Linked DNA regions of Xenopus tropicalis. The protein of the gene in region 2 binds, or shares a complex with, the protein of the main gene of each other region. Links are inferred from orthologs where the notes say so. Each region holds a gene or a part of one and is shown on either strand. Other genes may lie near its edges. The genes, in order: cd81 and adgrg1.

What was found.
Region 1: adgrg1 (region 2) and cd81 share a complex: the UniProt entries of both Homo sapiens proteins name them as parts of the GPCR-tetraspanin complex. The link is inferred for Xenopus tropicalis from reciprocal best matches to the Homo sapiens genes ADGRG1 and CD81.

What each region holds. Positions count from the first base shown.
Region 1 is NC_030680.2:22,300,208-22,316,380, reverse strand, and holds the start of cd81 (CD81 antigen), read right to left. Parts: upstream 7,661-16,173; 5' UTR 7,595-7,660; coding exon 7,529-7,594; intron 1-7,528. UniProt on the Homo sapiens protein: Structural component of specialized membrane microdomains known as tetraspanin-enriched microdomains (TERMs), which act as platforms for receptor clustering and signaling.
Region 2 is NC_030680.2:76,185,605-76,201,727, forward strand, and holds the start of adgrg1 (adhesion G-protein coupled receptor G1), read right to left. Parts: upstream 9,599-16,123; 5' UTR 9,584-9,598; coding exon 9,501-9,583; intron 1-9,500. UniProt on the Homo sapiens protein: Adhesion G-protein coupled receptor (aGPCR) for steroid hormone 17alpha-hydroxypregnenolone (17-OH), which is involved in cell adhesion and cell-cell interactions.

The DNA.
Region 1 (16,173 bases), about 54 Mb from region 2:
TTAAGCACCTGTTTGGCCCATTTCTTGGTCTGTGGGAGGGAAATGTGGCTCTAGATGTGTGAGCCAGTGCAACAAAGACAGGAGGCTCCAACAGAGGAGAATTTGTGCCCACACAATTCACAGGCAGCTTGAGGAAACTTTTGAGGGACTTCACCACACAAAAAGATTTGTTGAAGTTAACTCTTGCTGAGGAACCAGTAAAAGTGTGGCAATTGTGGTCGCCAAGTGACCCCTGTAGTTATCAAAAGCAACAATATATACGAGGGCTTGGCAAGCTTACTAGAATGTGTATTGGTTGATTATATTAAAGCAGTGATCCCCAACCAGTGGCTTGGGGGCAACCAACCCCTTGGATGTTGCTCTCAGTGCCCCCAAACCAGGTAATTATTTTTGAATTCCTGACCTGGCAGCAAGTTTTGGTTGAATAAAAACAAGATTGCTACCAAATAAAGCCCCCTGTAAGCTGATAGTGTGCATAGCGGCAACATAATAGCCAATCATCCATCATTTTTTCCAGCTCCGCAGGTGCAGGGGGGCTGCTGCCATGAGGTGAGTTGAGAAACTCGCCTCAGACGGCAGGGCCCTCAAAGTTACCAGGAGCGGCTTTTTGAGTGCGGCTCAAATTCGGCTCTACTAGTTAAGAGATTGCTCTACACTAGCAATGAGGCCTCCCTGGACTCCCTCTGACGTTGTAAAGGTAAGTGTGGGGGGCCGAGGGGTGGTATCGCAGGAGCCGTCTCAAGGGCCAGCAAAACACACTCAAAACTGCCTCTCCATAGCCTTCTGTGATGACTGACTGACCTGTAATGGTATCAATAAGCTGCCAACCTTACTGCACTGCTCTACACTTGGGCAATTTCCCTAAAAAAAATATTTCTTAATTCTAAAGAAATGTAAAGGGTTTGATAATAATTTCACCGCCACACTTCTTCATTATACACTCTGATCTGCCAATTGGGGTAATGTTTCTTGCATGCTGGTTTCTTTCTCTGTCACCCAACTGTTAGTCTGATCACACTGAGTAATAATTACCACGGGGGTGGGTGGGAAACGAGAGTTATTTTCAGAGTGATCGGTTACATACGCAGGCACACAGAGGGTAGTGTAGGCTTTAGGTTTCTGATTTATATGCGCAGAAAAGGGTTTAAAACCACTGCCACCTGTGTCAGTCAAAAACAACAACCATAGAAAAGCCTGTCCTTAGGCCTCAGGCCCAAAGCACATCATCTGAGAGAGACAGAGAGATGCCCCTTTCAGCTTCTTCACAGCAACCAGTAAGAGTTTTGCTTTCATTAGTCTTACTGCATTTGACCAATCAGAGCTAACTGGTTCTTATCGGTTAGAATTCCCATGTTTTCTGGGAAAAATATAGCACACTTTTTATAGCTGCTACCTTTCTTCCCTATTACTGTCGTGTAAAATACCTCAAAGACAGCAGCCTTAGTTACTACTCAGTGCTGAATTGACACAGACATTGCCCAGACAAAGACAAAAATACGTGTATATATAACTGTCAAACACAAATAGCTGCATATTTTTTCTTGGAAAGGTAGGCACTGTGGCATTACTTTGCCTTTAAAATGGTGGGCTAAGGAAGGGTGGGGCTATGCCAAATTGTAAATATTTCATAAACACTAAATAACAGACTGCTGCTTTTGTTAAGGGCTGGTTTATTTTCCACAATAGACACACAGGAAGAAAATAAATAAATATTCCATATCACTGGAAACTTTGCCTCAAAGGATGGAACTCCCACAGGTAACACCTCATTGCCTAGTCCTAATGCTGCACACACAGCCAGATTCAGCAGGAGCATCCCTTATATATACAAACAATGTCGACAATACCATCTCACCCTACTATACCTGCTATCCCACAGCCCCAGTCCCTTCCCAGAGGCTATTATCCCCCCACTGCTACTATAGGCACCATCTCTCCCTACTATACCTGCTATCCCACAGCCCCAGTCCCTTCCCAGAGGCTATTATCCTCCCACTGCTACTATAGGCACCGTCTCTCCCTACTATAGCTGCTATCCCACAGCCCCAGTCCCTTCCCAGAGGCTATTATCCCCCCACTGCTACTATAGGCACCATCTCTCCCTACTATACCTGCTATTCCACAGCCACAGTCCCTTCCCAGAGGCTATTATCCCCCCACTGCTACTATAGGCACCATCTCTCCCTACTATACCTGCTATCCCACAGCCACAGTCCCTTCCCAGGGGCTATTATCCCCACTGCTACTATAGGCACCATCTCTCCCTACTATACCTGCTATCCCACAGCCCCAGTCCCTTCCCAGAGGCTATTATCCCCACTGCTACTATAGGCACCATCTCTCCCTACTATACCTGCTATCCCACAGCCCCAGTCCCTTCCCAGAGGCTATTATCCCCCCACTGCTACAATAGGCACCATCTCTCCCTACTATACCTGCTATCCCACAGCCACAGTCCCTTCCCAGAGGCTATTATCCCACTGCTACTATAGGCACCATCTCTCCCTACTATACCTGCTATCCCACAGCCACACCCCCTTCCCAGAGGCCATTTGCTCATTGCTGTTGCTACTGAGTGGAGGTGCTCTGAGTGCTCTGTGGAGTTGTGACTTTCTCCCAGGCCCGGCTGGGTCTGGGGGTTAGTTTTTGTGGGTATTTTTTCTTTGTTTTTTGCTGTTTTTCCCTACTCAATGGGGAAGAAAGCGATTAAACCGTTTAGCCGGGTAGTGAAAACCCGTTTGAGAAGCAGCAAGAAGGCCACTGGGTCCAACATTGTGGTGACAGTGGAGCGCACTGCAGAGGGCAATGTTTCCTGCTCTCTTAAAGGGAAGGAAAAGAAAAGCAAAACCTGTTCCCAAAGCGGCATGGAGAGTGACTCTGAGGACCTGGGCGCCGGTGTTGGAGTAACTGCAGGGAGCTGCGGAGCTACAACAGAGGCAGACCAGGAGGTGAGAGGAGAGTCTGATGACTGCAAAATGGCTGCTGGCAGTGAGGAGCTTGGAAGCCATGTGGCCCTGGAAGTTGCAGAAAGTGCTCTGACCAACCAGGAAATGGCTGCTGCCTGTGAGGAACATGGAAGCTGTGTGGCCCTAAAAGTTGCAGAAAGCGCTCGGAGTGACCAGGAAATGGCTGCTGCTTGTGAGGTGCATGGAAGCCGTGTGGCCCTGGAGAGTGAGCAGGTAATGGCTGCCGGGCCCCTGGGGAAGGCTGGGGAAGTGCACAAAGGTACTGAGACTGTAATACAGTATGATACAATAATTAATGCTTTGAAGGAGCTGCGGTGTTTGGAGGAGAAGCAAAACAATTTAAACAGAGACATTGACAGACTGATAAAAAATCAGAAGTTGCTGAGAGGAGAGAGGAGAACTCAGTACATCAGGGAGTTGGCTTTCCACAATAAGGAGCTGGAAGAGACTGAAATTAACATTAAAGACATTTTGGCTGTTATAGAGCCATGGAAGGAACTGTATGACAACAAACAGAGATTTGAGCAGATGAAAGAGGGGCAATGTGACTGCTGAGAGACTGCTAAAGTTGCTGAACTGCTCAAAGAGACTGAAGTTTCAAAAACTTTTACTGAATGTAGCGTTGCTACTAACATTGTGCATAGTAACGGTCTTTCCCATACTGATAGTGTGTGTGCAGCTGCCGTTAGTGGGGTGAGTGCTGGGGGCAGTGTGGGGCAAGCAGCTGAGAGTGGTGGCAGCTGAGGTGCAGGTGATTGCAGGTAATGCAATGTGTGTGAGTGAGGGGGGAGGGGCAGTGAGTGCTGGGGCAGCTGAGGTGCAAGTGGCTGGGAGTGGTGCAGCTGAGGTGCAGGTGATTGCAGGTAATGCAATGTGTGTGAGTGAGGGGGGAGGGGAAGGAAAAAATGTCGTTTATTCTGCTGGGAAAGCAATGTGCATGGGGGGACTGAGAGTGTTGCTGGGGCTGCGGGGGGCAGTGTTTTGGGAGGGAAGGAGATTCTTTGCACGTGAGCAGGATGAGGAGTTTGATGATGAGTTTGATAAGAGGAAAAATGTTGTGAAAATTAAGTGGGAGAAAGAGAGGGAGGATTTCCCGGGGCGCAGGTTTGTGGGCAGAAACATTATTAAACAGTTGCTGGGTTTTACCCCACAGGACGTTTATGCCTTGCTGAGTGTCACAGACACAGAGTTTGATTTAAGCTATAAGCTATCCCAAGGGTTAGAGGAGTTCTGGAGGCGGTACCATCTGAGTAAAGAGGCCAAGGAATGGGAGGGGTTTAGGGTAATCCCTGTGTCCAAACCCGAAACCAAACTGGTCACCATTATCATGAAGAGAGAGACAGTGCATGAGCAGGACATCCTCATATGGCTCCGGCGCCAGTGCACTGTCCTATCCCCCCTAGAGCCGGTGTTTGATGAGGAGGGATTCTGGGTAGGGGGGTATAAAGTCCAAGTGAAATTGCATGTGGATCAGAATGTTCAGAAACATCTCCCAAATTCCTTTTTCATTGGGAAAGCAAGGGGTGTCTGTTTCTATGTGGGCCAGCCCAGGCTATGCTATAAATGTGGGTCCAACAGACATTATGCTGTAAAGTGCAACATACAGAAATGTGCTTTGTGTGGGGAGACTGGGCACCCAAGCAAGGAGTGTGTCAAAGCAATAAAGTGTAACCTGTGTATGCAATCCGGCCATGCTTATAGGGCCTGCCCCGACGCCTGGCGCAACATTAGGAAGGCTTGTCCCAATCTGGAAAAAGTAATGAGTACCCCAATGCCAGGGGAGAACTTGCCCCAGACTGAGGGAAGGGGGGAGGAGAGGGCAGGTGGGGCAAGAGAGACAGACAGGGGGCGCCCAACAGAGGTGAGAGGGAAAGAGGGGGAGAACAAACAGGCAAAGGCACAGGCAGCGGTACAGGCAGCCCAAGAGGAGGGAGGCGGAGGGGATGGTTGGATAGTGGTGGGCAGCAAATCAAATAAAGCTAAGGAGGCTCAGTGCCCAGGTGTAATTACCCTCCCAACTGAAAATAGGTTTGTTTTGCCAGGAGGGAAGTCATGGGGGGATTTAGCAGAGGAACAGGTAGAGTTGGAGAGAATGGAGGAGGAGGAGGAGAGGGAGAAAAGGAAAAGTCTCTCATCTGATATCATCTCCAGCAGGAAGAAGAGCAAAAGGGAAGGGGCTTTTCAGTCTCAGGGGGCAGAAAAGGAGTCACTGGAGGAAGGGGAGTTGGAGGAGGAAAGTGTGATGGAGAGTCAGGGGGCAGGTGTGCGGGTACAGGTTAAACGGTCTGCTGGGAAATGTTTGGACAATTCTCAAAAAAAGAAACATAAAGATGCCTCTTGATATGTGTTTTATAATGATCTGTAAGAAATAAGATGCTTTGCAGGAAAGTACGTTTTGTTTTTGATGTAATATTGATTTATGTTTTTTTGGTTTTTGTTTTTTGCTTGATTGAAATGTAATTATTGTTTTATTGTATTTGTTAAATATATTTTAATAAAATTCTCTCCCTACTATACCTGCTATCCCACAGCCCCAGTCCCTTCCCAGAGCCTATTATCCCCCCACTGCTACTATAGGCACCATCTCTCCCTACTATACCTGCTATTCCACAGCCAAAGTCCCTTCCCAGAGGCTATTATCTCACTGTTACTATAGGCACCATCTCTCCCTATTATTAAGGAGATTAATAAGCTTCCCTCATGTTGCTCTACTAAGAGATGAGCTTAGGGGCCCCACTCCTGATTGGACATTATAGGACAACTTACACCCAGGTGCCATTTTCTACACACTGCCATTCTTCATGCTGTTATGAACTATTAATTCAAAACAGATGCATGGAAGGGAGCCTTACATCCTAGCATAGCAATGTGGTAGCAGATAGTCAACCCGCCCACTCATGTACACATAAACACATATGGCCAATAAACAATGTAAGGAATGTATAACCCAATGAAAAATGCTTTATAAGCACATCTTAACCAAATGATGTCATTACAGTGTAATCCTAATTAGTCATCCAACCTCCGTGTTGTTGCGGCAATTAGTGGTGGCAATTAGTTGCTGCGATTGAATTTTAAAAATCGCGGTGACCAATTGCCCCGTCTGTCTTCACCCTAATGCCTTATCCTCTGACTCCAATACACCAATGGGCCCCATTCTAATGGCCAGATTATTCTAAAGATGGCAAACATGTTGGAATCATCAATTTTAATCCCTCCTGACACTAGAAATTCTACACTTAAAGCACTCTATTGTATCTTCCAACGCATACAGTTCTGGGGGCTGGATTTTTTGCTGTAAATAAAAATAACCTTTCCATACCTTTATATAACAAAGCAGCCAATAAGCAAACACTATAAAGTCACTATAAAGAGAAACTGGCTTGTGGATGTGATTATATACATAAATACATAATTCTTTGAACAGATGGATGCATTTTGGGGGCAACACAGGCACAAACACAACGCTGTACGTCACAAGTATAGTGTAAACACGCCCACTGAAATTGTTTCCGCAGTATTATCATTTCCATTGTCACAACTGTTGTACAATTATACATCCTGCACCTTATAGACTGGAAACTCTACTGAGCAGGGCCCTCTGTACTTCCTATAACAGTCAGTATTTGTATATAATCGTTATGGTTTGATATATACGCCGCTCTATTGTACAGCACTGTAATCCTTTGCCCTGTCTGTGAATACTGTGTGTGTAACATACATGCAATAAGCATGATGATAATCACCCTCAGTTTTGCTTAGCATGCACCCACTGTATCAGCATAGCATTATAATAAAGCCTAAGATTTTAAAGAAATAAGGGAAAGGCAATGGGCAGCTACTCCCAACCAGTTGCGCCCTGCCTGTTGCTCAATAGCAATCCCCGCAATTTTCCCACAGTCTTTAATCCCAGTACATAACATCAGTGCTGTCCAATCGGCAGCTGTTCTGTAATACAACTCCCAGCATCCCGCCTAGAGTGCAATTTAAAGCACAAGGAGAGAGTTGCCGCCTGTTAATGCTGGGGGCCAGTGGCTGGGGATGCCTATCTGTGCCAGGGGTGTATATATATATATATATATATAGGGCAATGTTATTGTGATACATGAGGGGCTATGGGTAAGGAGGGGCTAAACTGCCCAGTTGGGCTCAGCAGCCCCCACTATTCCCCCTCTGCACCACGTGGTGTTGGAGACCCTGCAGAGGGGCTGTTGTTGGTTACTGAGTAGGACAGAGGAGGGGGCACAGAATGATCCCCCCCCTCCCATTACAGCCACACTGAAATCCATGGGAAACAGCAGGGCTGGCACCGAGCGACCCTTTCCCTGGCTGGAACGCACTGTGCTACAGGGTTCATCCATTCCCCACCCTGATATAATTCCGCCCCATCACCCCCCTCCCAACTCACAAACACTACGATTCCCAGGTTCCAGCCAACCCTCACCCCCCTAAGCGCTATCTCAGGATCTGTAGGAATGGCGATGGGGGGGGGGGGGTCAGTGGAACCCTGTGCCCCCCTCGTTTGTACCCTTACAAATACCCAATGGATAAGGCACACTCACCCAGAAGATGAAGTTGAAGACAAAGAGCAGATATTTAATGCATTTGGTGCATCCTTCTACCCCCATGGCGGCTGCGCTGAGCGTTCCCCTGTCCCTTATTAGCTGTAAAGCGGATCAGAGATGCGAGAGCGGAGAGACAAGGTGCAGACACAGCCAAGCCGCCTCCCCATACAGTGTCTGTGCCACGCCCACTCCCCTCCCCTGCCCCCCCCCCCCTCCTTTTAAGGAAGGGGGGCTTCCTCACAAGCCAATGGCTATCAGGGTTGGGGTATCCTCCTGAGGCGCTTGTGTCCCTTGCACTACTACTCACTGTGTTTTCAACGCCATTTCCCAGCATTCCTTGTTATTTCTCCACAGAAAACTCATGTTAAATAGTTGAAACTGATAAAGTTCCATCTAAATATCTCTATATAGAATAAGGAAGGTGATAAGGACGTTTGTGCTGTTACAAAACATGCTATCTGGTCGTCTGAGACCAGCAACAACAAAAAAAGTGTGAGGGATTAGTTGTATGTGTATTTGTAATTACCTCACTTTTTATTTTGGTCTGTTCCTATGGACCTTCCCCTCTTCCTTTCTGATGGCTTCTTGGTTGCTAAGGCAATTAATCCTTAGCAACCAGTAAGCAGCTGGAACTTGGCTGGCCATACACGTGGTCGCACGAAACATCGTCAGATCCGCCGCACACCATTCAGGGCTGAATCGACAGGTAAGGAGGTAGAAACAATAGGATTTCTACCTCCTTCTGCCAATTCAGCGCTGAAGGGAGATTTTGGTCAGGCGCCTTCTATGGCGCCCGATCAAAATTTTCAAACTGGTCCGATCGGCGAGTCGGCCAATATCAGCAGCTTCCTGCGATATCGGTTGACTCGCCGACATACCATACACGCACCGAATATCGTACGAAACGAGGTTTCGTACGATATTATCGGTGCGTGTATGGCCACCTTTAGAATTACATAACTATAAATGTAAATATTTAAAAAATGAGAATTAAGAATTTAGATTATTTATATATTGTCTTCGATTATTGATTTATGTTGATGAACCCCCTCAATCTACCCACGGCCCTTGAGCCACACTACTACAGCTCCCAGCATCCTCTGACAGCGAGAGGCCTGTGTGATTAATATTTACACAATCCCATGTTCAGGAGCGGGAGAGAGGGGCTTTCCCTTTTGCAATGTTTAAATTAGGGGAAAAAAAGGACCTCTGTCTTTTGCTAAAGGGTTAAACCCCAAACAGATGGAAAGTACAGTTGGGAAATTGGAAGGGAAACTATAAAGGGCAGGGTGGGGGTAACAGTAGCATGCTTGTTAGGGAAGTGGGTATGTGAGGCTAAAATAAAAGTGTGAGGGGTGCGGGGTGTGTGTCGGAGCTGGGGGAGACGTGTGGAATACATCAGCATAAATCGCTTGGCTGATTTTTATTTTAAGTCTCTTGTCTCTGGTACATTTCCTGCCAGATGGGCCAGGCACATATTTCCCTAGCTGTAAACTCCTGCCATTTCCTTTAGGCACACTGCAGCATTTCCCTTTAAATTGAGGGGCGGCGTACAGTGTACTTGTGCTGGAATTTCTGCCTACCTTTATTAAGAAAATTTCCTCTTTAAGGGCGACTTGTTATGTGTTTCTTAAGGGCTCATAGTGGTTCATCAACGTTATTTTATCAGATGCATGTGTAGGTCTACATAGGATAGGATAGGAAAAGTCAAGTTCACTGGTATCTGGGCCAATGTATATATATAAAAAAATGCTCTACAAAAATCCCCCCAGTGCCCTTTCAGAAACTAGCGTTTAAACCCAACAGTAGACCTGAGGGGGTATATACCCATTTAGTTCTGCAACTGGCACCTGTGCTGCAAGGGAAGGGGGCAGGCAGTCAAGATCCAATACATTTGTTTTCCATAGTTGTTCTGCCCCTGGCCTGTCCCAATAACCCCTTTGCCCTCCCCTTCTATGCTCTCAATCCCTTCCTACTCATTAAATTTGACCCACTTTGTCCATTTATGCTCCTCCATATCACATCACAACTCTACCCTATAATATTACAACTCCACCCCTATTAGCTCATTCACTGGCCTATACACAAGTCCAGACTGGGATTCAAAATAGGCCCTGGCATTTAAAGTACACAGAGGCCCAAACAGCCCCCACAAGCCCAATAAATAGTGACTGTCTATGGCCTCTTACTGCAGCCCCTCTGGGATTTGCCAGTCTGGGCCTGGGGGGCAGAAATGGTGATGCAAACCCAACAGCCACCAGAAAGGGCTGGGATGGCTAGGGCATTGCTGGTGGGGCTGGGCCAGGAGAGGTCCAGGCCCACCACCTTCCTTTGGCCTCATCTAGGTGCAATTTGTACACCTGAACACCCCGCCATCTAGTAGGTTTCAGGCTACAGTGAAGAGAGTGCCCGGGAGTCAGGTTGGCAGTGTGGCATGCCCATAGAAGATACTCCAGGTTAGTTTTTTCACCAAAGATGATCACTGGCTTGGGATATGAAGTAAGAATTCTTTTTTACTTGAATATGAATGCCTTATGGGGCAGCAGGAATAACTTTTTTTTTTTTTTTTTTTTTTTAAAGTCTTGTTTTTATTGTTTTGGCACAATTTGTTTGTCTTGCAAGATCCATCATTTAGAAAAGGATTACAATAGGATATATTTAGCTGCAATGGCAGATAGTTGGATAGTTTGGCAGCACCATTATTGACAATGGTATAAAGCACCACAACTATATCCTTAACTTGCGGCCTAACATCGGCTGTGGGAGCATACTGGGAGAAGCAGTGCAGCGTGGGATAACGCTGAGGCAAAACATGTTGGGCAGCTGAATTTGTTAAATGCCTAATTCAATTTTTCCACCCCTGCTTTTATTTAATTTGTTCGTTTGGCTTGTTGGCTCGGGGCCACAAGGTTTCATTAAGTCAGCCTTGGTGTAAATGCGTCTGTATCCGTTTCTTTTATAATGAAGAACTGAAACTAATGAGTGAGTTTGTGTCTGCGCGCAGAGAGGAGGGGGAAATAAAGCTCTGACCTGGGCGCACTTAAAAATAGGCACCAGAGGAAATATCTGAAATGCTTGCATTTCATCAAGAAAGGATGTGAGCACTGATACAGAGGGATATCTTATGAGAGGGATTGCTGGGGTATTGAGAACTAGCATATAATGGCTAATTCGATCGTTTGGCCCTAGGGCCCATACACTGCCAGATAAGCTGATTCAAAATTGGTCTGAAGGACTCAAATCTTCCTGTGTATGGCCACCTTAACCCAACTTTCATAGATTTCAGGCTAAAGCTGACCGGACCAAACCATTTTCCCTGAGGCTGCGGTGCCTAAGGCTGTGGAAAGTGTATTTCAGGGGGGCGAAGAAGCACCCGAACACTATAGAAACTTGAGGCTGAAAGGGCAAATAGTTGGGTCTCCCATTCTGATTTGCTCACATGCAAGCAAACAAATTACACAGGCCACTTTGAGTTCTGTTTGTTATGCAAAAAGGACCTGTCCATATTGGTTAAAATCCAAAGATATGCCAGTAAAGGTCTTCAACCAACCAGGCAAGCTGCCACAACGTCCTTGGCAAAAGAGTGAATTGTTGGCATATGGCCAGCCTAATAGCCCTGTTAGATGAGATAAAAGGGAGGAAAACATAAACTTGCTATACATTCAAAGATCTGTTTGGACACAGTCACCAAACTAAAAAAAACTTTGCTTGATTTGGCCACGCAGGTGTTAGCCGAATGGTGCTGATGCGATCATTTGCCCCCAAGGCCGAACAGCCTATATCAACAGCCTAACAGCAAGTGCCACATTAGCAAAGCATGGCCTATCCCCAGCCAAAACCAGACCTAAACAAGGGATAGGCAGTAGAGTCATCTGCTATCTTAGCAGCTCATTATTTAATCAACTTTTAGACTGATGTCCCACGAAGGGTGTTAGTTGCCCGAGATATCTGCTATCATGGGCAACTAACTGCTCTGAATAGCCTTGTCACCAGTGACCCATATTGTTGCTGGTGGAAAGGCAGTTTGGAGTGGTTAGCCCCCACATCACTTTGGTTTTCCAATGTTGCACAAAGTTTCCTCCTGTAGGTAACTTCGCGCAACTTCTGAAAACTGAAGCAATGCAAAGGCCCCTGGAAAGGCATTTCAGAATGGCTAGTCAACCGCAATAGCCGAGATATTACGCAGGCGACTAACTCTCTCTGTGGGGCATCAGACTCTCTTCGCTGCTCCCATGTCAGCTGGTCTGCACCTGCCACTAACCAAGGTGGGAGCAATGGTTTGGGTCCAGTTCTGCCTTGGGTGTCAAAGCTCCTTGCTTCATCTCTATTGGACTATTAACAACAATGAGCCAGGCAGAAGCTTAGATTAGAGCAGCAGACAGTGCTTTACTACAGTAACATCAATCTGTTGGAAAAAGGAATTTTTTGGCCATGCCTTGTTAGGCCCCAATTGCTTTCCACTACGCAATCCCTATATCTTCTATAAATTGGCTGCAAAAAATCCAGGCTCCTTAACAGGCTTTTTCAGTTAAAGGGATTACAAATACATTTTGTAATCCAAAATGATGGAAAACAGGGTACTTGGCTATTACTACTGTCGACCGGAAGATAGGAAGATGTGCATAATAGTGGCCTTTTGGGTTTACCGGCTAGGCCAGTCAAACACCGGCCAGATGGCAACCCTACAGAAAGAGCAACTGGAGTGCAGTATCAGCCACCAACTTGGGCAGTGCCCCTTAAAGATTCACTGAATATGCCCACAGGACATTTTGATCTTCTTATGCTCACAGATGCAGCATTCAGCATCCACTTTCCTTTTGAAACTTAAATCTAAATGTATTCATTTGCTGCACATGAAAATATTACAACAAACAACTCATTTCCTTACACTCCTATTTCATTCTTGCTTGATTAATGCTCAAGTTGCCTTTTTCAAGAAATTTCACAAAGTACTGTATATTTACTTGCTTTAATTAATATGCTTGTTTTGCTCTTTCCCCCAACTTATAGATATTTTGGCTCAGCTAGCAGTTTTAGGATTGTCTAAGCTGCAGTCCTCTCAAACAGGCTAGCCACAACATCCTAATCACTGGCCATAACCCCCCTAAACCAACTATTAAGCAAGGCAAGAGCTATGGGTTGGCAGCAGAGCCATGTGGCTATGGCACAACAGGATGCTAGGATGATGGGACCCTAGGCACATACCTCTGCTGCCTACTCCTGCATGGAGGGGAGAGTAAGGAGGGTTTGGTGACACAAGCTATAGGTGGGAGGTTGGTGGCAGCCAGGGTTGGGTGTTGGACAAGCAGGCATCCTTGCCTTGGGCGCCTGTGGCACTGCCATTATGCTTCTTTCTATTATAGTATTTTATTATAGAGTGTGAACTGGTGTACCTAGAGGAAAGCCATGCAAACAGGGATGGGGGAACATATAAAAACTCCTACACAGGGCTGTTCTCTTGTTTCAAGTCTGAAACCCTTAGCAATGGGCGGGGGGCCAAAGCAGAGGGATCCTAAGGCCCAAATTGAAGGTGTGGCCTTCTGTTTTAAATTAGACATGTAATGTATGGGAAGTGATTTCCCTTTCCTTCTCTGACTTCCTTGACAGAAGGATGAGTGTCAGCGTGCTAAGAGATAAATGCCTGTACGCAGTGTTAAAGGGCAAATATGCAGTGTTTGAGAGGCTACATTCACTATACTTCTGTATAAATATTTAGTGAAGGATCACAATATAGGTTATTCTCGTTTCTCTGCATCTCTCTTGGCATTAAAAGGAAAGGGCACCTGTAAAATAAAAGGAGAATGAAAGAGATGTGAAATTCAGAGTGGAGCCATCTGGTTGCTATGATTTAACTCTAACAACTGGAAAAAACAGACTTCCCAACTGAGATTTTTATTACTGTTATTAGTATGTAATGCTGATCTTTATTTCAGATGCTCTGTGATTCATACTTCATTGTGATAGTCAAGCAGATGTCTAGTTGCTTGGGTCAGTAGGCTTAGCAACCAAAATCAGCCACAGAGAGCTACAGAACAAAAAAAAAAGCAATTCAAATAAAAACAAGACTACTTGCAGAGGTTATAACAAAAAGTTAGTTCCTATTCCATTTTTATAGGATCTGCCATACTTTCGGCCCTACCATGGTAAAGTGACTCCATGGACATAAAAGTGCCACTATTACTATGGAAAAAGAGAATTCAGTTTAAGGTTGGAGATCCGATTTTGGACATTTTGATCATGAGAATTCTCAAGCTAACTCCATGTGTGCCAGAGTGTTCCACCATGCTCCCCTGCATATCTGTCCTTACTGAGCCCCCTTTTCCCCAGACCCCACTATAGTTAGATTTTCCACCTGGCCAGTACAGCCTGGCCGGTATAATTGAAGTTTTATGCCAATGTTATTATTAGGGAAAAAAAGATAAAAGTACCTTTTCTAGGGAATGTGTGAAGGGTTATAAGGAAGGCTCAGCCAATCTTGAATCAACAAATTAGTCAGGGGTGCTTATACCAGGAAAGGTGAGAACCTTGCCTCAGGCAGCAGCACCCTGCAGAGGAAAATAGCCATTCCTGGTAACTTTAAGAAACAAAATTTCAATTTGTTAATCAATTGTGCTCTCTGCACTAGTTATGCGGTGGGGGCAGCATCTGAAAGCCTGGCTTGAAGCTTAGAAAGGTAAATGCAGAGGCAGCATCTGAAAGCCTGCCTCAGCCAAGGGCCCAGGAATGCACCTGAGTTTAATGGATTCAAGTTATGCCCCCCCAGATTAATATCTGGTCAAGGCTTAATCAGATATTGATCAGGAAGGCTGGGAATGGGAATGGACTATGTCCATTGAGCTGGGTATGCAGAGACTCCCAATAATGTAACTATTAGTGCTGGGGCCCGGGTGCAGGCCAAGCAGGTGGGCCCCCCACCCCCTCTTCTAGATATGGTTTTTGCCGTGGATTCGCATTGGCATGAGTGTTTGGAGGACCCCCGGTAATCCTGCTCCTTAATGATTGGATCAGCCCAGTTTACCTCACCATCTTGTGGGCAAGCAAAGATCTGCTAGTTTGTTGACCTTGCCAAGTGAGTGTTGACCCCAGTATGGCCAGTTTAGAAGGGCTAGCTCCTTGGAAACTGGGCAAAATCATTTTATTTTGGTCTCTTACAAATACAAATGGAGAACAGGAACTACAGGCATAGTGACCCCCTGATTCATCCATTCTGCATCAAATTAGAGTATAAACTCTTTTGCACACGTGGGTTTCCCTGCACCATTCTGATTGGATTCATTAGCAGTCCTTTAAACAGGAGAGCACTACATCATCCTCAGCTGGCAAGGAGAGGAGAAGGAGAAAGCTGTGAGAGCATATGTAATGGAGAGAGGATGGGGTGGGAGTCACTTAGGAAAATGAAAATATATTCTAACGAGAGAGAGAGAGAGAGATTCACAGGGTGCATTTAGAGAGTGAGTGAGAGAAAGAAGGAGGGGTGGGAAAGCGCTGAGGAGTTGGGGGGGGGCAGGGAAAGGAAGAGAAGAGTGGACGGGGAGAAGTGATTTATCAAGTCCAAGGCGCAACAAATGGAGAATTTAAGGAAAGTGGGAGGCCAAGCCAGAAGATCCGCATAAAGCAGGGTGGGGGTGGAGGCAGAAGGTTACAGCCCAAGAATAACTGAAATGCGAGAAACAAAAAGAAATGAATTAATCCAAAGAAGAAAGGGAAGAGGCACAGAAAGGGGAGCATGGGAGTGGGGGAAGGATGTGCTTTCTGGTCAGATGCTCTGCAGGGGGCATAACAATAAATGGAAAGGAGATAGATTAGAATGAGGCTCACAGACACACCAGATGGAAAGGAAATATCCAATGGGCTGCTTCGGGTTCTGGAAGTTATAGTTCCACGACATTCACTAAGGGAAGAGGAATGCACTTTTCTGGGATAAAGGCTTGCAGTCTGAAATGGCAGTAAACGGTTATGTCTTGTATTTGTAACCCTGTGCACTGCAAATTGCTGCAAGAAACAATGACACTGTATGGATAATATATTAGAGACATGGCACATAAAATAGGGTTTTACTTAGTCTTAAGCTGGCCATACATTATGAGGTTCACTTGTTTGGAGAGGTCACCAAACAAGCAGATCTTTCCCCGATATGCCCACCTAAAGGTGGCCATACACTGGTCGATAAAAGCTGTTCGACAGATTTAATCCCAGTGAGCTCACTGATGCAGCCCTTGCCCCAAAGGCCTACATCTTTTGTCAATGCGATTCGATCAAGGTGGATCAACAACATCTTTCTCTGCGTGGCTACCATAAGCAAAATTGGCCACAATCACAATAACAGGGATACAGGTCGTTGGGGTGAGCCAAGAAGATCAAACCTGCCCGATTTTCGGCCCCATACACGAGCATATAAAAGCTGCCACTGTATGACCACCTTACTACTCCTACTCTGGCCACCAGATAAATCAATAACCCATTTTGGACCCCAGCGCCTGGGGCCAGTCTTATTAACTGTGGGCAAAAAGTATCTACTGTACCTCCCCTCTCTCCTGCTGCTGGCTGCCGCTGTAATGCTGCCTGCTTCACTCTCTCCCTTGTTCCATTGGCCCCCAGTAATTCATTACACAATGGGTCCCCAGTTTCTTTTTATTACATGC
Region 2 (16,123 bases):
CTTTTTCTCTAACTACTTTTCTCCAAATATTTTTACTACATCTTGCAAGAGATGTACAAAAATGCACGTAGGATTCTTTAATATAAAATAAAACCTTTAATGAAACCTACTTACACTGGCAGCACTAGGTCCGTTCTTACTATTAACTTTAGTATAACATTACATTAACTTTAGTATAAAATAGAATGTGCTTTTACACACAGGAGTATATATATTACAATGTGTAAGCCAGCATCACCAATGCTGTTGCCAATAGCGACTAATCAGCAATTAGAATTTAACCTAAAAGTTTGAAGTCCAGAAGAAAAGATCTGATTGGTTGCTATGGGCAACATCGTCAGTGATGTTGTCAAACATACTATAATAGATATGTCCATTAACATCATTTCAATTGGTCTCCATTTTTTTTTATTGTTTTTGACTTATTTGCCTTTATCTTCTGCTTCTTTTCATTTTTGATATGGCGGTCACTAACCCCAGCAGCCAAAAAAAAAAAATACTGCTCCTTAAGGCTACAATTTTTATTTTTTTTTAATCTTTTTATTTGGTTCCACTCCTTTTCATCTTTATATCTTTCATTCAAACTGCTGCCTGGGTGCTATGGCAAACCGGACCCTAGCAATCGATAGCAGCTGAATTTCCAAACTGTAGAGTTGCTGAACAAAAACCTAAATAATTAAGACACCACAAAAACAAAAAAGTTAAGACCAATTGCAAATTGTCTCAAAATATTACATACTAAAAGTACATTTTAAGGTGAACTACACCTTTAAGGGAAATTGTGTCCTGTGCAAAATGTTCAACTGGGCTCCCCTTGATGACGAATGATTGTTACTTAGTTAACTTTAACTTAACAGCAACAGGTTCCGGTGGAGTCAAACTGGTTCTGTTCAGAATCACAAGGGTGGTACAGAAGCAAAAAGTGGTACACAAATCTAGGATCCCAGTCTCCATATAAATACAGGAAATGTATTAAAATCATGTCACTGAAAAACTGAAGGTGACAATTTTTTAGATGACAAAATATTATGTAGGAAAGGGAGAAAGTGACAGATCAGAGATGGGCTGGGATGGATTGAGATGTTATTACAAATTATCAAGTATGTTGTTCATAAATGTGTAATACCAGCCTTGGCTGGTATTTTACCAGCTAGGCTGGTGCATTTACACGTGTTAAATCAGTAGTGTACCTTGGAAGCCCCAGGCCCCACCACAAAAGAATCTTCAGAGGGGCCAAGTACGAACCATTTCTCCCTATGATTATGGTAAGTTAGTAGTAAATGTAGTTACACCACTGTGTTAAATCCTTTAATGATCACCCTATACTATGTATGTGTGCTGTAAATAGGGTTGCCGCCCAGCCAGTATTTCACCAGTCCAGCTTGAAATTTACCAAAACAATCCAAAAATCAAGAGTACATAAAACTCAGATGATTGAGGTAAAATCCTTACCCACAGTAGTAGGGGGTCCGGGTGCTCATGCCCCAGACCTTTAGCTTCAGGGAGCCAATAATGGGAAATCAAGAAAAACAGGCAGGCACTCCGGATAAATAAAGTGTTCTTGGTAGCTCAACAAGTTAAAGTAAAATCAGTATAGGCTCTATAGCATTATGTGTAAGTTTAAATAAACTATACTGATTTTACTTTAACTTGTTGAGCTACCAAGAACGCTATATTTATCCGGAGTGCCTGCCTGTTTTTCTTTATTTCCCCTTGAAATTTACCAGCCAATGCCAAAGCCAGTATTACGAATGTACTAGCAATGCACTTCTGGGGAAATTTGTAATACCCTCTTCTTCCTCCCACGGCCTGCCCCAATATCTGTTAGTAAAACATTTAAAAATGTGGCAACCCTAGTTATAAATGTAGTTGCATTAAGAATTTCTATTAAAGGAACAGTAACACTAAAAAATGAAAGTTTTTTTGAAGTAATTAAAATATAATGTACTGTTGCCCTGCACTTGTAAAAGTTGTGTGTTTGCTACAGTAACGCTACTATAGTTTATATAAATAAGCTGTTGTGTAGCCATGGGGGCAGCCATTAAAGTTGGAAAAAAGGAGAAAAGGCACAGGTTACATAGCAGATAACAGATGACCTCTCTAGAATACAATAGTGTTTATCTGTTATCTCCTATGTGCCTGTGCCTTTTCTCCTTTGAATGGCTGCCCCCGTGGCTAAACAGCAGCTTTGTTTACATAAATTTCTGACACACCAGTTGTACCAATGCAGGGCAGCAGTATATTTTATTCTTATTACTTTTATACACTTTCATTTTTTGGTGTTACTGTTCCTTTAATTCTCTCCTTTATTAAGTATTTTTGTTTTTAACATTACTCTACACCAAGTTGTTGGAAGTACTACAGATTTTTTTGGAGAAATTACGTCTACTCTAAAGTGACCAAAATCGCTGTTTTCAGGTAATGGATTAGGATTTTTGTAAATGTGATGTTCTTTTCACTCCAGTTTAACGTTAATTATATTTTTCACTACTTTTCAGTCTACTTTACTTTTGTATATTTATCCAGACTCAGCTAGGAACAGACCTATCATATTGCAACTTTCTGAACACAGTACCTTTAAAGGACCTTTAATGATTGGAGCATTTGCACAACAACTGCGACCATCTTTGTGCGACCACAACTGTGTTTGCCCTTTATAAATCACCTGTTATATATTTGCCACATGATGCCGAGAATTCCTGTAGTTATGTCATGCTCATGGCAGACTTGAGTAGAGGGCAACCATGTATCCATCTGAGCAGCACTCTGCAACTTAAGGTAAATAAATCTGGGACAAGGTGACAGGAGGGCCTGCGAATGGAACAGGCCTAAGTTCTTGATGGTTTAGCCCTGAAAAGTGCAATGTTGCCTAACTCAAAGCTACTGCCTGTGTATCAGTGGTAAATGAGCACTGCCATTGGCTTTACCACTGCAGCTGATCAAAGCTTCTTTTTAATTTAATAATTCAGATAAATTAGCATCCAGGCATAAAGTATTTTTAAGGTCACACTCACCAGCTGGTATAAAAATTGCAGGCAACATAAAAGCTGCTTTAATAAATGGGAAAAGGGGGCATTTACCCAGGGCCAATGTGATGGGTAAAGTACCAAAAGAATTGAATTTATAATTTTCAAATGTATCATGCAAATATGGCAACCCCTCCTGCAAACAGATGGAATGGCTCTATAACATACACTTCTTTTAATTTCTTTTAGGATGTTGCTAATAAATGCTCTCATATTAAGTGCAGACTTTTTTTGTGGTGTCCCATGTAGTATAGAGTTGTAAGGTTTTGTTTGTTTGAGTACAAATTAAGGAGCCACAAAATTAGGTCATTCAATCTGTGGCAGACAACACGCAATATTTTTAAAACTGGGTTTACAGTTGCTTTAATGGCACTGCAATTCATACTTGCTGGGGCACAAGCACAAACTATAAGCAGGATACTCTGATTAAGCTAGTTGTAAATATGCACACACAACACATCGTATGGATAATTCAAATGAAATATGTTCCTTTTATCTTCACCCCTTAATGAGCTCAAAGGTATATTTAACTATATTATTCTTTATCACGCCTAGATTTTTGAGCTTTTTACAAATATGGTAGTACACCCACAAACCTCGTGTTTGAGGTGGGATTGTTGGGATCACTAGTTGGATCGTTACCCAGGGACCAATTCCAATAAATTATGTTTTTTACATGACATATGGCACACTTGTCCTTTTTTAGGCAGGACTTTGGAAGTACTGAAAATACCTGGGTTGGTAATGTGGCTCCGGGACATAAATGATCACAGTTTATAATTTTAAATGTTGAGAGATATGTTATGGATGTTTTCACCCCTTGGGGCATATTCATAAGAATCAAATTAGAGCTTTCCACAGTGAAATTCCTCCACTTTCTGTTAATTTCTATGGGATTTTTAAAGACTGATTTATCAGCAGGTGAAAATGAGAATTCACCATTTGATAAATATGCTTCTGAAAACCCCATAGAAATGAATAGAGAGTGGCGGAATATTCCTCTGGCAAACTCTAATTTTACTCTTTTAGAAATATACTGCATTGCTAGATCTCTCTAGCTGTTTTCACTGCATTGTATTATATGACTGTAAAAGAAAGTAGTCTCACAAAGACCACTACCATTCTTCAGTGTAGCCAAATTGAAATGCTTTGGTTCCAACCCTTGTATTCACTGCTGTATTCCAAGAGTTGGTTGATGTCACTCATCAGTCCCTACAGGCCTAACTATGTAGGAAGCTAACTCTATCTACCTGCTTCCAAAAATGGCCTCTGAAGCCCTCCCCCACTTTTCTGGTCAGGACAAGCAAAATTGCAGTCTCATATGGGCTGTTGTCTGTCACTGATCTTAGGGATCGACTCACAAACAGAACCATTCTCTGTAAAGGCACAGATGCAGACACCTAAATGCATTACTAGTCCTGCTCCATTTACTTACCTAAAAATCACTGCATGCAGTAATGACCAACATACAGCGAGAAAATACAATAAATGAGTCACATAAGGTAGTGTTAGTTTTTTCAATATGGAGAGTCTTATTTATAGCCCAGGGTTAGTTCTCCAAGAGAAGTGGCATCTATCTTTCCCTGCAAGTCAGCGCGGTGAGGGGCAGTGACCCGTGTAAGTTTGAGCGTGGGACTGGTGTGTGTGCTGAAGGAGCGGGAAAGTATGCTGAGAGAAATCGGATTTACTGTATGAGAACTGATAGGATCTATAGGGAGCTCCAATAAAGGGGCCAACTCTCAGGCCCACCTTTTACTTTTTTTTTATTAACCAACTCTAAGCTCTAATCTCATATTGAAAAGGCAAATACTACCCAATGTAACTCTTTAGATTTAGCGGATCTTCGTTGTGTACATCGGTCATTATTGAATTTAAGGAGACTTAAATGGCTTACTTTTACCAGCCATGCACAAACCCAAATAAAAGTGGGCCTTCTTTCCAATCACAGCTGTGTAATATGTTTTAATACTGATGAATTCTGGCATAATTATGTAATGTTATGAATTGTGAATCTGTAGATAAGTACTAACTAAAGGGGTTAAAATGAATTACACAATAAATTACTAATAATGATTTTTATGATGTGGGTTGAAATAATATAGCTGTCTATATGCAGGTCCACCAGTTATGGAACCTTGTTCCTACAGTAAGGCAGCCTCTAAAGCACAGTCCCACAACATTTTGTACCCGTGAGTCACATTTAAATGTAAAATAAGTTAGGGGAGCAACACAAGCATGAAAACTGTGTCTGGGGATGCCAAAAATAAGGGCTATGATTGGCTATGTAGTACCCCTTATGTGGACTGGAAGCCTGCAGGAGGTTCTTTTTGGCAGTGTACCTGGTTTAGATGCCCCGTCATAGAATTTTTCCTGAGATTGTCCCACAATTTGTACCAAACTTTCTCTTCTGATCTCTAGTCCAGCTAAAACTCCCGCACTTTATTGCACCTGTTAATGTTTTGTTTTTTAGTTGATGAAATGTTTCTAAAGTTTAAAAGCTAAGATTTGTCCTAGTGGGAGTTAAACTAGCAGCACATTATTTCGCGTAAAAGGACTGTAAAGGTACACAGCCCGATTATAGCTGCCGATAACGCTCGATTCGGCAGCTTATCTCCCCGTGTAGGGGCAGGAACGAGGGGCATGTCTGACCGATATCTGGCCTCAAATTGGCCAGATATCTATCGGACAGGTTAAAAGATTTAGTCGAACCGACTGCCCCATTGCCGCCATTATAATTCGATCACCAAGCGAGCGGATCACGTGTATGGGCACCTTAAAGTATCAGATCAGGGAGTCAGATCTGTTCCAAAATGAAGATATACACTGTATAATCTGCATAGGTCAATACATCTCTGTCACAGGAGCCGTTTGTGGAGTTAACAGAAGATTGCATGAGCTGCCAGCATGTGTGGAGTCAAAAGGTGAAATTTATCAGTCACAATTTTTTTCAATTTACAAACAAAAAGTGGAATATGGACTGTCTGTTCAGTCATGTTAGTGAAAGCTTATGAGGAATTCAAGCAAGATCAGACTAGCTCTACCTAAAGTGTATGTTACAGTGCAAAACAAAGCCCAGAAAGACACTGGGATGAAAATTTGCAAACTATGCTTTTAGCACGCCATTTACTAAATATCCATTTAACAGTCACACGGTACATTTGGGGGCAAATGTATCAAAATGCGAAATAAGAGCTCATCAAAGAAAAATTCACCCACTTACTATCAATTCCTATGGGATTTTTAGAAGCGTATTTATCAATTAGTAAAGTCTAACTTTTATAGATAAAGTCGCTTCTAAAAATCCCATAGAAATGAACAGAAAATATGTGAATTGATCTGTGGTGAGCTCTAAACTCACATTTTTATAAATATACCCCTTGGTGTTTAGCACACCATTGAAACTGTTGTGTATCTAGTATGTGCTCTTTGGCAGAAGGTAATCAGAGAACTTCTGTATATTTAAATGGACATGGACTACCCCTGAATATTAATATAGGGTTAACCAATCACTTAACAATTCAGGGACACATCTAGCTAAAATGGATGAGATTTAATGCAGTTTAACTTAAATGCAATCAGTGCAGCCCTGCAACACATTTATAAGAAGCATTAATGACTTTTCAAGTGATCTGGTAATGCAAAATTGAGGGCATTTGGCAGCTATGAAATCATTAGCCTGAACCACCTATTTACTCTTATTTATTGATGCCAGTCATCCTATCCTCCAACCAGATCACCATGATGTCATGTCAGGCCAGTGCAGATAAGTACACCCATTCCACATGGGACGTGTACTTTCTTTAACACCCTGTAGTCTTCACATTCCATTATATTGGCTTCCCACTTAAAGGCCAGTGAAAACTGTGCCCAATTTTACACGAGATGAGACCAGAAGTGTAACAGCCCTAATGTCATGGAACACTCCTCAGAAAATTAACTCTGAAGATCACCCAATCCCAGCTTTAAGTAACACATTCAAACCAGGTACTCATGCATTGATTGTTATTATTCACTCAGATCAGGATCTACATACTATAGAGATGCTGGGAGCACTTGGTACAGGTTGTTTTAGAAGGGGAAACTTAGCGACAAACTTGCAGTAGAAGCAGCATCACAATATACAGAGCTGCTCAGCATTGCCATATTTTATCATTGTTTATGTGAACCACTTTATAATTTCCACTACCTAGTAACAAATGAAACTAATACCTGAATGTATACCTAAATAACTATATTAATAATAATTAGAAACCAATTACTAAATGTCAGCATAAAAATGGATTATGATTGGCATGAATATAAACAAACACCTGTGTAACGTGTCAGGAAGAACCTGGATTTCTATGTTCTCTAATTATATGTGGAAAGAGGGCAAGGCAACAGACCCCAAATGCCAGTTCCATTTCCTATCCTTCTGTATGAGCCACTTTGTTGTTCTACTTCAAGCTGCTGTGTTTTATCTGAGCCCTGCATGTGTTTCCTTTTCTTATCTGCCATTCAGCTAGAGACGGCAGGTCCTGTCTGATGCTTTTATTTTTGTGGTCACTGTTACACAACCATTCAGTGCTTTTACTGAAGCATTTCTGTACAAATGCCCTATTAGGATATATTAAATAGCTGCTTGTATTTTTCTGTGTCATACTAGCTCCCTGTATTTTTGGCATACTACTAGCTTCCTGTATTTTTACGGAGAAAGAGAATATTAATTTCAGCTCCTAAAAACACTAACTACACCCAGGCATCACAGGAAAATTAAAGTTTAGGATTTCAGCCGGCATAATCTTAACAATTTGTTAGAAGAGTAATCTTGCTGAAAAATCTTGGTAGTCACCCAACTCAGTGTTCTGAATCCTTTGATGCAAACCTATGTGTTTATGCAATTTAAAGTTTTTGCGATGGAATTGGTGTCGAGAAAGCTCAAAAATACTACTTCCTACAAAGTCTAATTGAACAATTCTTATTTTTGTAAAAATTTGCCATCTATCATCTTCTATAGAAGTCAATGGCTGAGTTTGTAAACTCAAAAAAGCGAGCATTAGATATGTAAGTTTATTGATTTAGAAAAACAAACTTGATTCACAAAACTCAAAAATTGATAAATAAGCCCATTAATGTACATTAATATTTTGAAGAGTAGTTTTTTTTAGCGTCGGTATCACTTTAAAAAACAGGGCCTTATTGTATGGTTCTCTAGAGTACAGAGAGACTTCTTCCAATCTATCTGGAAAACATCGGGTACCAAGCATTAAGGATAGATTTAATATACAAATCTAATACCTGTGTATGCATTATATGAAATGATGAGTGAAAATATTTTCATTACCACATGTCCACTGACTTCACATAGCAGCGAAACAGGACAGATTTACTTATCACAATATGCAGTAAGAGCTGGTTAGTTTTCTGTTATTAAAGAAAATCAGTTTTCATAAAATACACATATTAAAACTGCAGAGGAGCTGTTGTTTCTTGCTAAGCTTTATCATTTTAACCAATCCTGTTATAGGAAGCAGTGATGTAAACAGTAGGTTTCAACACCATGGTCTGAATTTCATACATTTAAATAAACTAGAGGTTTGGCCATTAAGCATGACATAACTGCTGTTTTTAGAAAGAAAGGACAATTTAAACTTTTTGATTACAGTACACAATACAAACGCAAATGTGAATTTTAGTGTTTCAAAGGTTGGGTTTCTGCCACAGACTTTTCATGTGATCTCAGTTAGCTCCACTGTCTGTACAATATATTCTATGCATGCGCTCGAATCAGTACAGCAAAACTCAAATCCACCAACTTCTGATGTAAGTCCTGGGTATGTCATCTGACATCCACTGTACCGCTATAAGCATATTATCAGGTAAACTGCTGACAACTCTGAAACTCAAGTCTGTATTGTGAAAGAACACTTATTCTTGTTTTAGTATTATTATTTTATTTATAAAGGTTTTAACAGCTGATATACAAACAAAGCTACAGATAAAATAGATAATAGAGGCCCATATTTTACAACAGCTACTGAAAACATGTGGTTCTTTTACTTCCCTTTTAATGAGAAGTCTGCTTTAAAAAAAAGGTAGACTTTCGGTTACACAAATACTCAAGTTTCCTCATTGCTGACAGTCAACTACTTTCAAATAAAACCTAATAAACACATAATTCACAGATGCTCAAAATGCATATACTATTATTATAATTTATATAGTGTTGATATATTCCACAATGTTTTACAGAGAATATGCATCATTTACCACAGCCTTTGACTGTTTGTGAGATACTGAGAGTTGCAGTAAGGTAGCAACAGGGGGGGCTAAAGCTTGCCCAATCTTGTTGTTACCTTACAAGCCACATGTATTCCACACATGAATTTGAAATGTGTTAAAATAAAATATACAGTTTAACCTAAAATGTTCTTTGTTCTGTATGGAAGCAGAGAAAGAATTATGAAACACAGAGAGACGAGTAGGAAAACTTACCACACTGCTGGTTTGAAGTTTCTGCAGAATACTTGCTTCTGGTTCCCAGAGTGCAGCACCAAGCATTTGCTTGCACAGCACATGGCAACTACAAGTGCAGAGGCAGGAATGCAATCTCACAACTGGAACCTTAGTATTCTGAACCACAGACAAACCATTCTAAAAACAAAGCAGGCTTTGTTGAGAAACCTACTAAAGTAGGCAGCAAACCCTGATACGTGGGGAGACATCCCTGCCTTGTTTCAGACTAAACTGTAATCTGTAATCCAAAGATTCACAATACCAATCTCTGGCTCGCTTCTTTTTCCAAAACAGGGATCACCAACCTTCTTTTTACCTGGGAGCCACACTCAAATGTAAAAACTGTTGGGGAGCCATACAAGCATGAAAAAATTCTAAGCTAACTGGTAGCCACATGTGGGCTGCTAGCTTGCAGGAAATTCTGTTGGCATAAACTTGTGTTTTTATGCCTCCAAAATCTGCCTCCAAGCGAGTAATTTAAAAAAGCACTTACATTGAGGCCACTGAGAGCAACATCAATGGGATTGGTGAGAAACAGCATCACAGCTCACGAGCAACTGCTTGGGGATCACTTTTCCAAAATGTTAACATCCTAGACTGTAGTGTGGAAAAAAGGTTTTCACTCTACACAGTCTTGGTCACTGCAACCATCTCACTGAAAAATATAATGCCAGTCTCCACTGACAGACACTTTCCATTTACTTCTAACATACATTTAAACCAGGTAGCAGACACATTAGAAAAAAAACCAGATGTAATCAAACTGGCTCCTGTGCTATTGCAAATTCGCCTTAGTGCAGAAACCAGAAATAAGTAAATGCATTTATTTATCTATGTATTTATTTATTTATTTATTTAATAAGTGTGAATTTCTGAGAATGAACTGCATCATCTCATTTTTTAGGCCTTAGCGCCCAAACAATATTAATTTGGCTATGGCTTACCAAGCAGCAAATGTTGTAGGGGTGATCCTATGTATGCTCAGTGAGACACAGTACAGTGTCATTTCACTGTACAGTGTCATTCCAGTATCATATTACTGCAAGAAGAAATATTAATAGCCTAGGTGCTACCTTAATGGGACAAAATGTGCCCCAGTATAGGTGAGACATAAAGGGGAAAAAACTTTCAGCATTTTGGTAATGCCCAGAGAACGTTTCTTGAGAAAGGTAAAAAAAAAAAAAAAAAAAAAGTTTATTTAAGGTCAAAGTTTTGGTTTGATTCCAGCTTGGGTACTGTTTGCAAGAAGTCTGTATGTCTTCCCCTTGTGTGCGTGGGTTTCTTTCCAAATGTAACTTCAAAACATGCAAGCAGGTATATTAGCACTAGTGTGTGTGTGAGTGTGATAGAGACATTAGACCAGGGGTCCCCAACCTTTGTTACTCATGAGCCACAGTCAAATGTAAAAAGACTTGAGAGAGCAACGCATTCATCACAAAAGTTCATGGAGGAGCCAAATAAGGGCTAAGGTTGGCTATTAGGTAGCCTCTATGCACACTATCAGCTTACAGGGGATTTATTTGGTAGGAAATCTTGTTTTTATTCAACCAAAACTTGCCCCCAAGTCAGGAATTCAAAAATAACTACCTGGTTTGGGGGCACTGAGAGCAACATCTAATGGGTTGGGGAGCAACATGTTGCCCCCGAGCCACTGGTTGGGGATCACTGCATTAGACTGTATGCTCTGCTGGAGCAGGGAATGATGTATAATCTCTGTAAATATATATCCTTCAAAAACAGCCTGGATTCGGCCCAAATCCCCAGGATTATATATATATATATATATATATATATATATATATATATATATATATATATATATACAGTATATATATATATATATATATATATATACTCTTACATATTTAGCAGAGTTTTTTTTAGTGTATTAAGTAGCTGCACCTTACACCTTGATAAGTAATAGGTGCAGTAGAAGTACTGAAGCCAGTGGTGTTTTGGAGTCTACTGCTAAAATTATCCTTATCACTTCTCTTTATGTAATTATACCCTTTGATGAAGCCAGCAAGGGGAGAGCTACACAGGCCTAGGAGCATGGTCTGATGGAACTCTCTGATGAGAGTTCAGCCAGATGAAAATGTCTAGTAAGGGCTCTGGCACACGGGGAGATTAGTTGCGATTAGTTTTGCCTCGCGAGGCAACTTCGGCAATTTGCCAAAATCGCCTGTGCAGCGTGTGCCATCCCACCAGCGACTTACATTTTCGCCGGTGGGATGGTAGTTCGGGGAGATTAGTTGCCTGTGACAAGGGAGATTTGTCGCGGGCGACTAATCTCCCCGTGTGCCAGAGCCCTAAAAGTAATTAGATCAATTATACAGCCATGGCTTTACTAGTACTAATTCTCTACAAACTATGCCATGTACTTAGAGATTTGTATCACAGTCATTTAAATAAAGATTAATGTATAAAAGTACCTAGATTTTTTTGTAGAAATACAAATTGTCTCTGCACATTTGCATATAATGCCTGACAAAGATAGAAAACGATATTAATATCATCTTTATGCAATATTCACACATATTAGACTTAATGTTACTGCTGTTGTGCTTCTGTATTTGCTTTGTCAGGTCTACTACCTTAATAGAAAATATAGATATCTTGGATAACAAAGAATGGCGGAATAATAAAGCAGATGGCAATCTATATGTGAACATATTTTTTTTTTTTTTCAAAATCTTACTTTTATTGATTTTTCATTCAAAGAGGGGGGGGGGGTACAAAAGAGAAAAAGGGGGGGGGGAGGGGTACAGAAGATAAAAAGGGGGGGGGTGGGTTCGGCAAAAGTTACAGTATTCATTGTCCATTATGTTTTGACAGGGTTAACAGCGAGTTTTGTTATACAAAGATAGTAAAATACATTGCATATTCATTACATCTTAGGTCACCTGTTGGTATGTAGGTTCTCGTTCCTAGGATTTTGTCCTATTATAGTAGTATTATCTTACTTTAGCAAATTTATCCAGGGGTTCCAAGTACTATGATACTGTTGGATCTTATTATGCAGCAAGGCTGTGATTTCTTCTAGTTTCCTAGTTTCTTCTACTAGAGTGATCCATTCCTTTACTGTAGGGGGGTTTATTGATTTCCACTTTTTGGGGATTAATGCTTTTGCTGCATGCAGTAAGTGGAGTGTCAATTTATCTTTTACAATTACCTTGCTGTTGCCATCATAGTATAGTAGAAGCAGGGGGAGGTTGGAGGGGTGTATATTGCTATTAGTGATATTGCTGGTTGTTTCACACACTTTACTCCAGAACTTTGTCAAAGCTGTACATGAGAACCATATATGTTTGAAGGACCCCACCTCAGAGTCGCATCTCCAGCATTTGTTGCTAGCATTTGGGAAAAGCTTATTTAGCTTCTCGGGCACATAGTACCATCTGGTGGTTATTTTGAAGAGCATCTCCCGTATTCTTGATGCTCTGGAGGATTTGTGGATATTTGTTAGTATTTTTTCTCTGCATCAAAATAGCCCTGCTGGGGGGTATTATAGTTTATCAGCAGAAATTGGTATGTATAAGACAGCGGTCTTGTAGGTAATTTCTGGGTTTCTATCAAACTTTCCCATGTAGTTGTTTGGTTACTAGGTGGTGTTCCTTTAAATTTGTTTAGGTAATGATGTAGTTGGTTGTAGCATCATGCGTCTCTGGGGTGGGGTCCCCAAATTTTTTGAATGCTTGCCAGATTTATGATTTTCCTTTTTTTATAAAAATCAGTTAACCTGGTTTCTCTTTCCTTATAAGTTCCCCATCTTGCAAAGGCCCTAGTGTCTAAGCTGGGGGGGAATTCTGGGTTTGCTATCAGTGTTTGGAATTTGGGGAAGGGTGTTGTTGTGATAAGTTGTTGTCTGTGTTTGTTCCAGATTTCTAGTGTTGCCGCTATAGCAGGGTGTGATAACGTTTCCTTGGGTATATTTGTGGGTTGGGCCCATAGTAAGTTGCTTAGTGGGATTTTGTACAGTGCTTGTTCGGTTTCCACCCATATTTTCTGCTTACTTTGCAGGTACCAGTGGAGGGTTCGCACCAGGTGGATCGATGCGTAGTACCGGTAAGTGTCTGGGACTGATAGTCCTCCTTTGCTTTTGGGGAGAATTAGGGTTTCGTATTTGAGTCTGGGGGTTTTGTCTCCCCAAATGAAATTGGATATTGTTCTCTTAATTGATTGGAAAAATATTTTAGGGATCTTAATAGGTATGGTTTGGAGATAGTAGAGAATTTGTGGCATTATAGACATTTTAATTGCCTGTATTTTCCCAAACCATGATAGGCCTAGCGTTTTCCACCTTTTCAGTTGTTTGTCCACCTTGTCTATTAATGGGACAAAATTAGCTTGGTATAGCTTGGAGAGGTCGGGTGTTAGCAATATTCCTAAATGTTTAATCTTGTTGGGGGACCACTGGAATGGGAAATTCTGTTCTAGTTTAGTTTTTGTTGAGATTGGGAGATTGATATTTATGGCTTCTGACTTGCTTACATTTACCTTGAAGTTTGATACTTTGCCAAATTGTAGGAGCAGCTGCATTACATTCGGTAGCGTTATGTTGGGTTTTGTAATGACTAGTAATAGGTCGTCTGCGAATGCTGCTATCTTATGTTCTCTTTTGCCTGTTATAATGCCTGAGATATCAGGGTTTCCCCTTATGTGTGCTAGTAAGGTTTCCATCACTAACACAAAAAGGAGCGGGGAAAGGGGGCACCCCTGTCTGGTTCCATTGTGTATATGAATCTGTGGTGAGAGTGAGCCATTTACTCTAACGCGGGCTGTAGGTTCTTGGTATAGTGCCATGATTCTGTTGATGGTTATTTCCCCCAATCCAATTCCAGCCAGTGTCTGTCTTAGGAAGGGCCAGGAGACCCTGTCAAAAGCTTTTTCCGCGTCTGTCGTTAAAATCATTGCAGGTATTTGTCTCTTTTTGGCAAAGTGAATGAGAGATATAATTTTGTAAGTATTGTCCTTCCCCTCCCTACCCGGTACAAAGTGAACATATTTTTTTACTTATTGAAACAACATTTAAACTATACACTATAAAAAAAATGTTCAGTGGTGTTATTTGTATATTTAAAAAAGAACTGCATTTGAAAGCTGTTTCTGGTAGGCAATCTCCAGTTATTATAATAGCTTACCTCTTGTGAGGCTGCGAGAAACTTCAAATTAAGTTACATTTAAAATTGTAACTTTAAAAAAAACTTTCAAGTAAAGTAATTACCACCCAGGAGGATCTGGCAGCATTCCTTCCTAGCTGTCTAATAAGACAAACATCCAAACTCAGTGGCAGGTTTTTTTCCTGAAATATGAAGGCAGAGGAGTTGGAGAGAGAAATATTTAGCTAACAGCAGATATTGAACTTCATGAACTTTTGTCAATGTTTCAACTTTACTTGGTTTAAGACTTTGTAACTGTGTTAGGCTAATGAGGTGAACAGTAAAGGGATAAATAAGTGAAAGGGTGAGATGCACAAAAAAGATAGGAGGAATTGATCAGTAGTGGGCACGCCTATAGATCGCTAAATATAGTGGTTATGGAGTATTGAGGTGAGAGAAATAAGAAGAAGCATGGCTGTTACAGAACAGAATTATGGAAGCTGAAATTAGCTATAGTATTATAAATGCAATTTTACACACACAACTCCAGGGAAAAAAGTGGGGTTTACCTTGAAGTGATATGGTGGATTGGCAATTTTATGATCAGACTTTGTAACTAAAACCCCATTTTTAAAAAATATATGCATTTGGTCAAGTACTAATGAAATAGGGGACCAGGGAATATGCATTAATCAATCCCCTATATTTTATAGGTTTGTAGCTAAATTAGCCTGATCACTCGCACATTTTACTTATGTATTTTGCTTGGCGTGCTACCACTTCCTTTTTGTGAATTTTTGCACTTAGAATATATTACAGCAAAGTATAATGTATCCCATTAATATTTGTTATTGACTTGAACAGTAGTAATTTCCAGGGTAAAAAAGAATGTGAAATATAGGAACAGCAATGTCATGCAAGGGCCAGTTTCTGTAACAATGAAAGGAAATGATAAGGCATTGTGAACATTGCTGTATTGCTTTATCAGCTTGACCTTTCAGAGCTGACAAAAGGAATTACGAAATATTCTACATCTTTTATTCTGCCTTACACATAACTGTATGTGTATAAGCATTTTCTATATAAATAAATAAATAGCTTATTTAAAGCTGTTTCTTTTAGATTTTTTCAGCACATACTCACTGGTGTCACTGAACCAATGATTTCATTACAGGTGTTAAGGTGGCCATAATTAAGATCCACTTGCCTGGTGAGGTCGCCAAGTGAGCGGAACTTCTCACGATATCCTCCACCTACGGGTGGACAATATAGGGTGAATTCAGGATAATTCGGTTGTTTGGCCCTAGGGCCAAACGATCGAATTAGAACACCGGTAATAGGTGCAATTGGTTCAGGGAACGCATAAACGAGCCAATGCGTTCCCTGATCCGACTAAATTTTTTAACCTCCGATCGATATCTGGCCAATTTCAGGCCAGATCAGGCCAGATTTCGGTCGGACAGGCCTGTCATTTGTGCCCCTAGACAGGCCGATAAGCTGCCG